Rhinolophus ferrumequinum: one gene and its partners. The protein of the gene in region 1 purifies or fractionates together with the protein of each later gene. This does not show direct contact. Links are inferred from orthologs where the notes say so. Each region holds a gene or a part of one and is shown on either strand. Other genes may lie near its edges.

The links.
Region 2: the proteins of CDK8 (region 1) and MED24 purify together in Homo sapiens (affinity purification with mass spectrometry; 13 studies listed by BioGRID and IntAct, counting the BioPlex papers as one, with this or other methods). This does not show direct contact. The link is inferred for Rhinolophus ferrumequinum from reciprocal best matches to the Homo sapiens genes CDK8 and MED24.
Region 3: the proteins of CDK8 (region 1) and MED23 purify together in Homo sapiens (affinity purification with mass spectrometry; 10 studies listed by BioGRID and IntAct, counting the BioPlex papers as one, with this or other methods). This does not show direct contact. The link is inferred for Rhinolophus ferrumequinum from reciprocal best matches to the Homo sapiens genes CDK8 and MED23.

The regions. Positions count from the first base shown.
Region 1 is NC_046287.1:98,622,195-98,625,943, reverse strand, and holds the start of CDK8 (cyclin-dependent kinase 8), read right to left. Parts: upstream 2,205-3,749; 5' UTR 1,680-2,204; coding exon 1,552-1,679; intron 1-1,551.
Region 2 is NC_046304.1:36,566,368-36,570,116, forward strand, and holds the start of MED24 (mediator of RNA polymerase II transcription subunit 24), read right to left. Parts: upstream 2,597-3,749; 5' UTR 2,440-2,596; intron 2,257-2,439; exon of another isoform or gene 2,055-2,256; intron 1-2,054. UniProt on the Homo sapiens protein: Component of the Mediator complex, a coactivator involved in the regulated transcription of nearly all RNA polymerase II-dependent genes.
Region 3 is NC_046286.1:78,969,155-78,972,903, reverse strand, and holds the start of MED23 (mediator of RNA polymerase II transcription subunit 23), read left to right. Parts: upstream 1-1,210; 5' UTR 1,211-1,443; coding exon 1,444-1,491; intron 1,492-1,835; coding exon 1,836-1,867; intron 1,868-2,025; coding exon 2,026-2,113; intron 2,114-3,749. UniProt on the Homo sapiens protein: Required for transcriptional activation subsequent to the assembly of the pre-initiation complex. Component of the Mediator complex, a coactivator involved in the regulated transcription of nearly all RNA polymerase II-dependent genes.

The DNA.
Region 1 (3,749 bases):
AAGTTAACAAGGACAATTTTTAAAATATATTACAGAGTAATACCTCAACGAGAAATATAATTAAAAAAGAGTCAACACCATCTCCAGACGTTGATTTCTCAAATGTCACCAGACTACCCATTCTGCTAAAAAGTACTTTTCAGTACATGCAGCACCCAGAGTATCAAGTTTGCAAATCCCTACCTTTTGCAGATATCTGTACTGCTTTACTGCTGCATGTAAGCACTGAAATGCACATTCCAAATTAATTAGAATTAGTATTTTACTTAGAGTCCATTTTAAGTTTTTTTGAAAGATATCTCCGTAAATCTAAGAAAAATGTTGATATACACTTCCTTTCCAATATCCAGAATACTAAAGTAGTTATAAATATGGCTTCCCTCCCACCCCGTAGGTAACTTATTTCAGCTTTATGAATGGTTTCATTTTTTACTGCTCATATAGTTCTAAACATATCCTCCTACCTAATTTGGGGGGAAAAAACAATTATTTTAATTGTTAAACAGCAGCTAACCAAACTAACAGCGATGTTCAAGTAAAGCTACTTTGTTTATAATAAAATCTAAAGATTATATAATAAGCTCTGGTATTGTCTTTCCAGCAATTTTCTATAGTGTCAAAGGCAACAGCGACAACATCCATTTTTACAAGAGGAAAACAAGGACTTAATTAAATATATTTTTCTCCTCAACTAAGAATTGCCTTCTCTTTTGTCAATATTACAAGACATTCATCTACTGACAAAGGAAAAATGAACACTTCACTTGCCTGTTTAAGAAACTAAATTGGGAGCATTACCAGTCATAGACTTAATTATTTCTAGGGAAGAATCTTTAAAGCAAAGAGCCTATTTAAAGTTCACTGCCAGCTGCTAAATTTGGGGGGGAACGGCCTGAACAAGATAACCCCTGTGTGTCACTGGCCTTTTTCCCCACCACCCACCCTACACCAACCCCCATTGTTCTATGTAAAACCCACAGCTAATGGTATCTAAATAGCAATTGCTACATTTATGTTGCAGATGATCACAGAGGAACTCTTCAGAACCGGATTTACCGGCTGCTCTCTTCCCCCAAATAAAATCCAAATTTGATTTAAAAAAAAAAATCAATCACAAACTGGTGGAGGAAAGGATCACAGCTTCCCTTCCAGACTTATGGATGTCACTCCAGAAGCGGGTGAGGAAATCCCCAGGTTACCATAATAAATCGACACCTCCCCCCCCCAAATCATTTAAACTGACGTTTTATAACGAATTTATTTTTTAAAATCTGGTACCGAAACCCTTGAAAAGTATACAGCCCGTGGGGTAGAGGCTGCTTTTCCCTATGAGCCACCAAAGTAGAACAGAGGCAGCAGCACGCAGCATTGCGTGCGGGTTTGGATCCTTCGTCCACCACTTCCTCTCCGAACCAGGCTGGCGGGGACAGATGCGGGTGTCTAGGAAGTGGGAGCCCCGCACTCCAGCGCTCCGCTCTCCCTGCCGGCTACCTGCCTGGGCCTGCGGGAGCGCCGCCCAGCGCGGACACCGGCACAGACACAAACACTCACCCATCTTTCCTCTTGGCTTTGTAGACGTGACCATAAGTGCCTCGGCCAACTTTGCAGCCCTCGTATTCAAACAGGTCCTCGACCCGCTCCCGCTCGCTGCTCAGCTTCACTTTAAAGTCATAGTCCATTGTCACAGCCTCCGAGGCCGGGGAGCTGGGTCAGGGGGCCGGGGCACAGGGGTGGGGACCCGGGAAGCACCGGCAGCCGCAGCCCCCGGGAACCCGCCCGCTCTACACCCGGCGGCCGCAGCACCAGCCCGACCGATGCGGCAAGAGCAGGAGGAGGCCCCGCGAGAGCGCCGGGGACATCCAGGGAGGCAGCGGGGCAGAGGCCGGCCGAGGGTGGGGTGGGACGGGGAGGTTCCCCCGGGCGCAGGAGAGCAGAGGGACGAGGGCTGGGGGTGGGGAGCGGGTGTCTCTGCCCTTGTCCCCGCGGACTCCCGGGGCGCCGGCTCTTCTGCTCTCTCCGGCCGCGCGTTCTGCTCCCGCTGCGGGGAGCGGCGGGGCGGCCACGGCGGGCTCTCGTCCTCTCAAACGCGCACTCACGCCTCACCCTCTCTCACACACACGCTCACACTCACTCACTCACTCACTCACTCTCCCATACACTCAAACAGAAAGGCAGCCCCGCACAACAGCCGGTACCTCCTCAGAGAGAGGAGGAGGGAGGGGAATCGCGGAACACGGCCGCGGCTGTCGCAAAAACGTCGCGAAGGCTCGGGCTACCTCCGGCCCTCCCTCCAGCCCGCTCCGCAGCGGTTGTCTGCCCCCGCCGGGGCCGGTACCCGCAGGACAGTGTGAAGGGAGCCGGGTAGCCACTGCCCAAAGCTGCCGCCAAACTCACCACGTGGACCGTCCCGACGGCGGCCAGGGCCCCAGACTACAATGCCCAGAATGCACTAGCCGCCGCTGTTGCCGCCCCTTCTACGACTCCACCCCATACAGTGGGTACATGTAGGAGCGTTGCATGATGGAATTAGTAGTCCAAAGTGAGATTAGTTTCAATCACTTAGGAAAAATTATTTTTAGCAGCGATATCGTTAGTGTCTGATTTGGGCCGTAAACTTAACCAAAGAAATTCACGTGTGAGGGAGGCTAGTTTGTATTGACATCACACTTTGTGCCACTTCTGAACTTCAGGTATTAAAGGACATCATCGTTATCAAAAAAAGTCTATATATTTGTAAACAGCTCATGGACTATCACTTGTGTATTCTTGCGGTTCACTATCTGATAAGGGTTGCACAATGATAACACTGACATACGTTACAAACATCAATAAGAGTGAATCAATGATGAGTGTCCATACTGATCCTATGCGCAAATAGTGTTACTCTTGGGGTGGATGACCACCCGATTGCTTCCCATCCATTCAGAGAGGACTTTATTTTGAGAATGACCTTCTGCACCCCTGCCGATAAGAACAGCAATTTTTAGCCATGATTACAGCAGTGGATATAAATCCATGGAAACTATTTGTTAATCATTTCAAGGTAGGAATGGTGTCAGCTGGAGGAGTCCCCATATCTTGACAACAATCCCTCACTTTGCCTTAACCCTCTTATTTAGATGTCTATTTTTTTATTTTAATTTTATATTTGTATTTATTTTACATTTTCCAGTTGCTACCGTTTCCACCAAAGCTCCCCACTCCCCAAAGCATATATAATCTCTCCCACTTTTAACCCCCTAACACTTTTTTCACCTTTCCATAGTATTCATTAAATTGATTTGTCTTTTACTCCTCTCTCTTGCTATATTACAAATTCCTATAGGAAGTCATATGTGCATCTTTCATAACACCTAGTATAATGCCTTGGATGCAAAGCACAGGAAAAATTTGTTGAATTAATGAGTAAGCATGTTTATGTCAAAAAAAACCATGTAAGATGATGACAATGATACCATTTTATGAAAAATCCTCAAAAGGGTTCTTCTCTTATATAAATTTCCTTGGAGAAAATAGTGACCTCACTACTGATGTAAATGATGTTGTTTTTACCTAGTACATTAAATCTTATTTAGTGTTTGGTGTACACTGACCAGTTAGGTGGATCTGGATTGGAATCTTGCTTTGTCATCTATCAGTAACATATCCTTAGAGCCTCATTTCCTTTCTTAGAGAAATGATCCTAGCTTACAGTAAGTACACAACCAAGGTAAGCTTTCATTGATGAGATGCTATATAGGTTTCTATTC
Region 2 (3,749 bases), on another chromosome or scaffold:
AAAAAAAAAAGGTAGATCAGGAGGTATTTCATTTTCTATGGCTCTGGGTCTAGGATTTCAAAAAGTCTCCTTCACCCAGTATCTTTAAGGCCTTTCGTCATAGAGAGATGTGGTAGGGGAAGCCAGAATGGAGGGGAGACAAAACCATAGTACTGTCATCTTCCCTCGGGACTCAGTCACCCTGCCCTAATTAGATGACAGCTAGACCTCTCCATTGCCTCCTGGTTCTGCCTGATTGATGCAGAGCATAAATGTATCCCATGCTTTGGGATTCTCTCCCCCGACTCCTTGGGCTGCCCAATCTCAAGAGACTATTTCCACACAGGGTAGAGCGTGCACCCTGAACGCTGCACACCACAGCTTTGCTCCCCAGGGTTTCAGCGAAACCCGATCACCCAGGAGGTGGTATCAAGGGCAGATAGCTACCCTCAATGCACCTCACACTGCACGCTGCAGCCTTCTGCCCCACGCTGCAGCTGTTGCATGTCCACTGTGAGCCCAGGCCGAACCCACAGGTTCACTGACTGCATGCTGACTCTGCATACTGCAGCCTCCATTCCCTACTGCAGCTGCCACAACTCCACACTGCAGGCTCCCTTCACCCATGGCATACCCCTCATCACCAGCACTCCACTCTGCAGCCCCAGGCTTTCATCCCAGCGATGCTTCTCATCCCCATGATTCCAGCGGGTCCCAAGAGATGCTCCATCCCCTCCCCATGCACGGTAGACCCCAATGCCCCCTGTAAGCGAAGTGGCTGCAACAGAGATGAGGATGCAGGTGGCTGAGACTGAGATGAACCAGGGCAGCCCAACTCAGATAGGCTGTTGGTCAGAAGCCCCACACTTAGCAAGTGATTTTTGTAGAACAGCTCCCCCTTCACATACACACACACACACACACACACACACACACACACACACACACTCCAACAGCAGACTGTGGAAACAGGGCCCAGCCCTGAAAGCCGTGGGAAGGCTGTGGCCCCCGCTGGTAAAACTGGGCTAATGACAGCAGGGGAACCGGCGGGGCCAGAGGGGGTGCTGGGGTAATTAGAGCTCTGCCTGGCGCTCGGAGATCCCGAGATGAAAGGGGCTCTGGCGTCACTGGGATGGTTTTATGTCCATGAGTGCAGGTGTGTGTGTGTGCAATGGGGTGGGTGGGAGCTGGATGGTAGGGGAAGGGCATCCATTTTTATGCAGGCTGCCTTCCTTAAATTGGCCCTGATACCATTTGGATTTTGGTGGGGGTAAACATGGAAGGAAATACCACCTCTGTGAAGCTGAGAGTTGATGGGGTAGAGCAAGTCTTGCCCCCTCCCCAGCCGAGCAAGAGGACCAGATTGTTGAGGAAATGGCTGATGACAGTGAATAAAAAGAGCCTATATTGAAATAGGGTGACATTTGAAAGGGGAGGCAGTGGATCAGGTAATGATGTTAGAAATGAGAGGGGAAGGAAGCGAGTAAATGGCGAGTAATGGCGAGTAAAACTCCAAAAGAATTTAAAACATAGATGATTGAAGTTAAAAGGACCTCAGGGGTCACCTGCCGAACCCTGGTATTTTAAGGTTGAGGAAGCTCTGCCCCCGACAGCAGGGGTGATTTGCTCAAGGTCACACAGTGAGTTACTGGCAGAGAAGAGACCCGAACTCAGAAACAAACTCGAAACCTCCAAGGGTTTGGTATTTAGACTTTCGCCCTACTTATAAGGTGCAGGCGTCTCGTCAATACTCCCTTCTCCATCCCCATGGTGCAAACACCAAAACCTTCCATTCTTCCAGCAACTGAAGACTATTTTTTAAATGACATCTTTTTCAAAATATGTCACCCAGTATCACTCCTGCCGGAGACGCCTGGAGTGGGGAGGGCGAGTCCGAGCTGGGCGGGTGTAGAGGCGGCCGAGGGGCGGCCGGGCGGCTGGCTGGCCGGGGTCCCGGGGCGCGGCGGGGGGCGGGGGGCGCGGGTCGGCGGCGGCAAGGCGGCCTGCAGGGAGCAGCCGCGAGCCGGCCGGGCGCGCCGAGCAAGAGCCCCAGCCGGAGCGGGGCGGGGGAGGGAGGAGCCAAGAGCGGCCGCCGCCTCTGCCGGAGGAGCCGCGGGGCCGCCACACTCGCCCCCCGCCCCCCCGCGCTCACTCGCACTCACACCCGGGCGCAGGAGGCGGGCGGCCCGGGCCCCACCGGCCCCCCATGGACGCCCCCGGCACGGGGCGCTGAGACCCCGCGTCGCTCTCCAGCCCTGTCCAGCGCGCCACGCCGAGGTAAGGGGGAGGGAGCGAGGGGGGTATTAATATGCAAATACCTCACGATTGATTATGCAAAGCCACAGGGCTCTCTGGCCAGCTCCCGGCGGGCTGGGGGCGTCCGGGGGGGACCCGCCGCCAACCTTAGCCTGCCCCCGACGCCCCTGAGACCCTGTCACAACCCGGGAGCTTGCAACTTACGCCCTGAGGAAGGGAGGTGTTGCTAGGAGGTCGGTGGGCCCCAGGGTTCGCCGGCGGAGATGGCGTCCAGGCCTCCCCCTCGAGGGCCCGCCCGGCCTCTGTCCGGCCCGTCTGCTGCGCATTCCCGGGCCCGGCCCCGCTGCCGGCCGCCGAGCGCCCCCGCCCGCCGCGCCGCGCCGCGGTTTGTTTACGGTGCGCGGGAGGCCTGCCCCTCAGCCCCCACCCCTAGCCTTCCAGGCCGAGGCCGAGTGGCCTTTGCAAAGCTGCCTCCAGCTGCGGAGGGCAGTACGTGTGGCGTGGGGAGTGGGCTTGCAAGGGTCCCGGGAGAGGGAAGCCCCCCCCTCCACCCGCCTCCCCAGTTGAGCATGGCTCTCTGGTTGCAACACTCCTAATTGCAAAAAACGCGGCTGGGGGTGGGGTGGAGGTGTGTGTGTGTGTATGTGTGTGTGTTGGGGGGGAGTGTATTTGAGGGTCCCCAGATGATTAGAGTTGCAAGCTAGGGTGGTTGGGGAAGAGAGGGAGGAAGGGACCTGTGTTGTGTGTACCCCCCCTTTTCCCCTCCCCTTGCAACGTGTCTCCTCTGGTGCCCCTTCTCTGTCTGGGGCCCTCCCTTGTCCCGTGTGAAAGAAAGGCCTGGGGAGGGGGGCAGTGATAGGGGCAATGGAGAGAGCCACTGTTTCCAGGGGTGGAGGTCGAAGGAGGGCAGCCAGTGGGATGGTAGCCCACCCCTCAATGATGGCTCTGGCCCCAGGAGGGGGAAGGGATGAAGGGGACTGTTGTCCAAGATGAGAAGGGAAGCAAATGTGACATGCAGACACCAAGATATGCCCACATAGACAGCCACATGCACACCCAGGGACACCCAGGCGTACTCAAGGACAGGAGCTACTGGACACACCCACATGGGAACAAGGGAAGTGGCAGGCTGCTGCTGCACTGGGGAGCTCAGAGGGATGGGACACACCCACGGGAGACCGACCCATGCACATACCTACGCACAGGGTCACACGGAGACGCTGTCACACACAGGGGCAAGGAGGAGTCGCTGTCACCCACACAGAAAAAGTCACTATCGCATGCATACATGAACACAGAGCAATTGCACACCGCCGCACATTACAAAAGACCCTGTCACTCACAGGCACACACGTGCTTGCATGAGCCCAGTCACACAGGCATCAACGCCTGCCGTGACAGTCGCTGTTACTCAGTCAAATGCAAACGTAGTTACACATCAACACATGTATACACAACTTAGCAACAAGTATTTTCCTGGACTTCTACTGTGGATCTCTGAGGTTCTGTATACA
Region 3 (3,749 bases), on another chromosome or scaffold:
CGTTGTATATAAATTATACATCGATTTTAAAAATGAATATTGGGGGAAACACATTAAGAAGATCTAGAAATAGATGGTCAATTTTTATTCAATGAATGGAACATCAACAAGAATGATATAAAAAATAATTTGTATTTAGTTATGGCCAAAACATAATTCTTTCCTGGCTATTTTACCTTGTTAACTGTACAAGCCCTGGCCCATATTAAGATTAGCTGGCATTTGCAGAGAATACACTAATTTGGAAACAGAGTGGAAGCATGAAAATCTGCTTGATAGTAGATGAAAACCATTTTAGAAGAGTATGTGATTAAAGGTAATACACTATAAGATAATTTGCTTAATATAGAAAAAAGAACAATAGATTGTTAGGGAACTTGGGTTTTAATAATTCTAGGTCTGTCATCCTAGCTTGGACATTCTGCAAAATTGATTACTGCAATAGTTCATTAAACACCTAACACTGTTTCTAGCACTGAGTGAATGGTGGATAAATACTCCATAAATGAAGTACTCTACTAGTTATGCACAAAGGTGTTTTATGAGGATAAAGAAGAGACCCCTAAATCAGGCTGAAGAAGGACAAGGTTTCCCGCTTGAAGGAATAAAGCCATGGGGTGTGGGGAGGCACAGCAGTCAGAGCACTTAGGTATCTGCTCTGACCACACCAGTGGATCAGCCTTCCTCTTTGCCACCCTTCTCCACCCCATCCCCATCAAATAGGCTACAGGTATTCAGTAATTGATAAATATTATTTTTAGATTATGATAACTAAAAATGGTAAATATTGTTATTCCAATTAAAAATCAATAATGATGCATTCTTTTTTTTAACATTCATTGAAAACCTGCTATGTGTCCAGCACTGAGGTTACCATCGTTGAGAAGATATGATATCTGTGGTCAAGAAAAGTATTGTTTCAACTCCTGGCTCCAGGCTGCTGATGGAGCTGCAGGACAGAAAGTCAGCAGCCATCATCAGTTTGACCCAGGGTGCAGGGTGCAGCAGAAACATTGCCTGCAGACTGCAGCCCCTGGCATCCAAGCTTTTCTCCTTTCCAACATGCAAAAGCTTTAGACCCGAGGAGGAAGCAACACCCGCTCCTGCCAGGAGGTGGCGGCCTGCAGCGGACAACGCCTCGACGTGACTTATGCTCGAGGCGCCGCTTGGGGGCGCTCTCTTCTGACTCTCGGAACCATCTAGCTAGGTCCCTGGTTTCCGGGGGTTTTGTAATCGGAAAGCACCATGAGCTTCCCGGTGCTTCCTTGCAGGCCTCGGTTGTTTGCTGGACCTTAGAGGGGACTCTTTCATTTGAGCGTTTGGGGTGGAAAGCGATCGGTTCGACCTGCGATTTCCTGAGGGCGTCTCCGCCCCTCTTTCTATTCCCCGGAGCTCGGGCCTGATCGCAGGCCGCGCGCCGGGCGCCCAAGGAAGGCGGGGGTGATGGTCCAGATGGAGACGCAACTGCAGAGCATTTTTGAGGAGGTGGTGGTGAGTGAAAGGGTCAGGGATTCAGGACTACGGCCGGGCGAGGGGGAGTCTTGGGGGCATCGGATTAAAGAATCCGGCTCGGCCAACTTCTCCCCACCTCTCCTTGGTTGTGACACTGTGTATGTGCGCAGAGGTTTAGCGATTCTCAAACTGCTGTCAAATTCAAAGCCTCCTTGAAATCCACAATAGGCATTGTGACAGGTCAGGCAGGCATTGTTAGTTTCTGCGTGTAGGTGGTTAAGGTGACTTGCCCTATGTTACACCAATGTTTTGCTCGGGGAGGCCCCTCCTTTTTTTTAGTTTTTAATTTTTTATTCATATCGTTTTGTTTTGTTTTGTTGCAGAAAACGGAAATTATAGAAGAGGCTTTCCCTGGGTGAGTATATGCAGAGCAGATTTTTGTGTTTTTACGTGGGTGTATCTTTGTTAAGATTTTACTCAGTTTTGTCTTGGAGATTTATAAGATCCACAGTTCTGGTTATGTTGAATTACCTTTTTAAAACTAGTGGCAAATAACGTGATTTTTGTTTATAGCATGTTTATGGACACCCCTGAAGATGAAAAAACAAAACTAATTAGCTGTTTGGGAGCCTTCAGACAGTTTTGGAGTGGTCTTTCCCAGGTGAGTACTGCTTTTTTAATACATTCAGCTAATAATTTTTGACCCCTTCTTTTTTTTACACTTACTTTGATGTTGCTGTTGGAAAAGGGGAGATAAAATTGTCGTCATCTTTTATGTCTATTCTGGTTTCCATTTGTTTCAATTTGTATTCCAGTGGGGAACCTGTATTGAGAATTCAAGTTGATGACAGTACAGTGTGAGATGTCTTTAAAAATCTCCCATGTTAGATTACATAAAACCATTTTTATCCTATTCTCATTTATTTGGTGTACTTGAAAACAGCTGTGTTAGGGATTATAAAGGATAAAAATTTCATTTTCTCAACAAAGGAACTGGCACAGTATTGATATAGAGATACTATAGTAAAGATACAGAAATGCCACAATAAGGATCCTATTTTATAATAAGGATATAAAGATATTATAATAAAAAAGAGGAAAGGAACAGTAAAACTTAATAACAAAGAACAGTCACCAGAAAATATATCCCTGAAAAAGACAAAATGTGTGATCCTTAAAGACTTCATTGTCTTTTTATGGTTCATTATAGGTAGGAAAATGTTTGCAGTTAAACCATTGGTGGTAAGACTTGCTACTCAGACATGGATCACGTAATGATAAAACATTCTTTTTTTAAAGTGTTGTAATGCAAAAGGTACAAAAAGGTGGACCCAATTAATAGTCTGTCTTTCATCTCTTTAGTTTAATTACCTTTTCTTTTTTCCATCTGTAGCCAGGATTCTTAGTTTGTATTTCCTTCTAGAAGTATTTTATGCATATAGAATCGTTTTTATAGAATGGTCATATATTATGTACACTGTTCATTAGCACCTTGCTTTTTTTCACCCTTAATACCAGAATTAATTAATTCTGAAAGTAATTCTACAACAATCCACTAAAAATTAAAATTTCTGACTTCCTTCCTTGCTTCCAGCATATTTGTTTTATGGCTACACCTTCCTTTTTTTAACCAGTCCCCTAGTGACTGACATTTAGGTTGCTTCTTATCTTTTCCACCTTAAACAATGCAAAATGATTAATGTTGCACATGGGACAGAGAATAAATTCATGGAAATAGTATTGCTGAATGAGCAGGTATGGCTATTTGTAATTTTTATGGAAATTGCCTGGTTGCTTTCCATAAGGCTCACCAATTTATACTCCTAAACATTAGCAATATTTAAGAGTATATATTCCCTACAGCTTCACAATAGAGTGTTAATGAACTTTGTGATCTTTGCCAATCTAAAACATGAGAAATTTTATCTCAGTATATAATTTTATTTTGCACTTCTCTGATGTTGACCATCTTTCCAAAAGATTTAAAATGTTTGATAATTTGTTAAACATTGTATGAGTTAAGGTATGGCCCTTATCTGCAAGAATATTATATTCTAATGAGAGAGCCAAGAAGAAAGTAATATTTGTAAATCCACATTATATGATCAACAACAGAAGTATGTGTTAGGGACAGTGGTAATGAAGAACAACGGGACATAGGCTCTTTTGAGGATGTCCTATAAGACAGACTTCGATATGGGCAGTACATTTCAGTATCAGATTTAAAGTCACAGAAATCTAGAAATTTGTTCTGTCGTTGGATTCATAATTGATTGGCCTTTTAAGGATTAGATTCA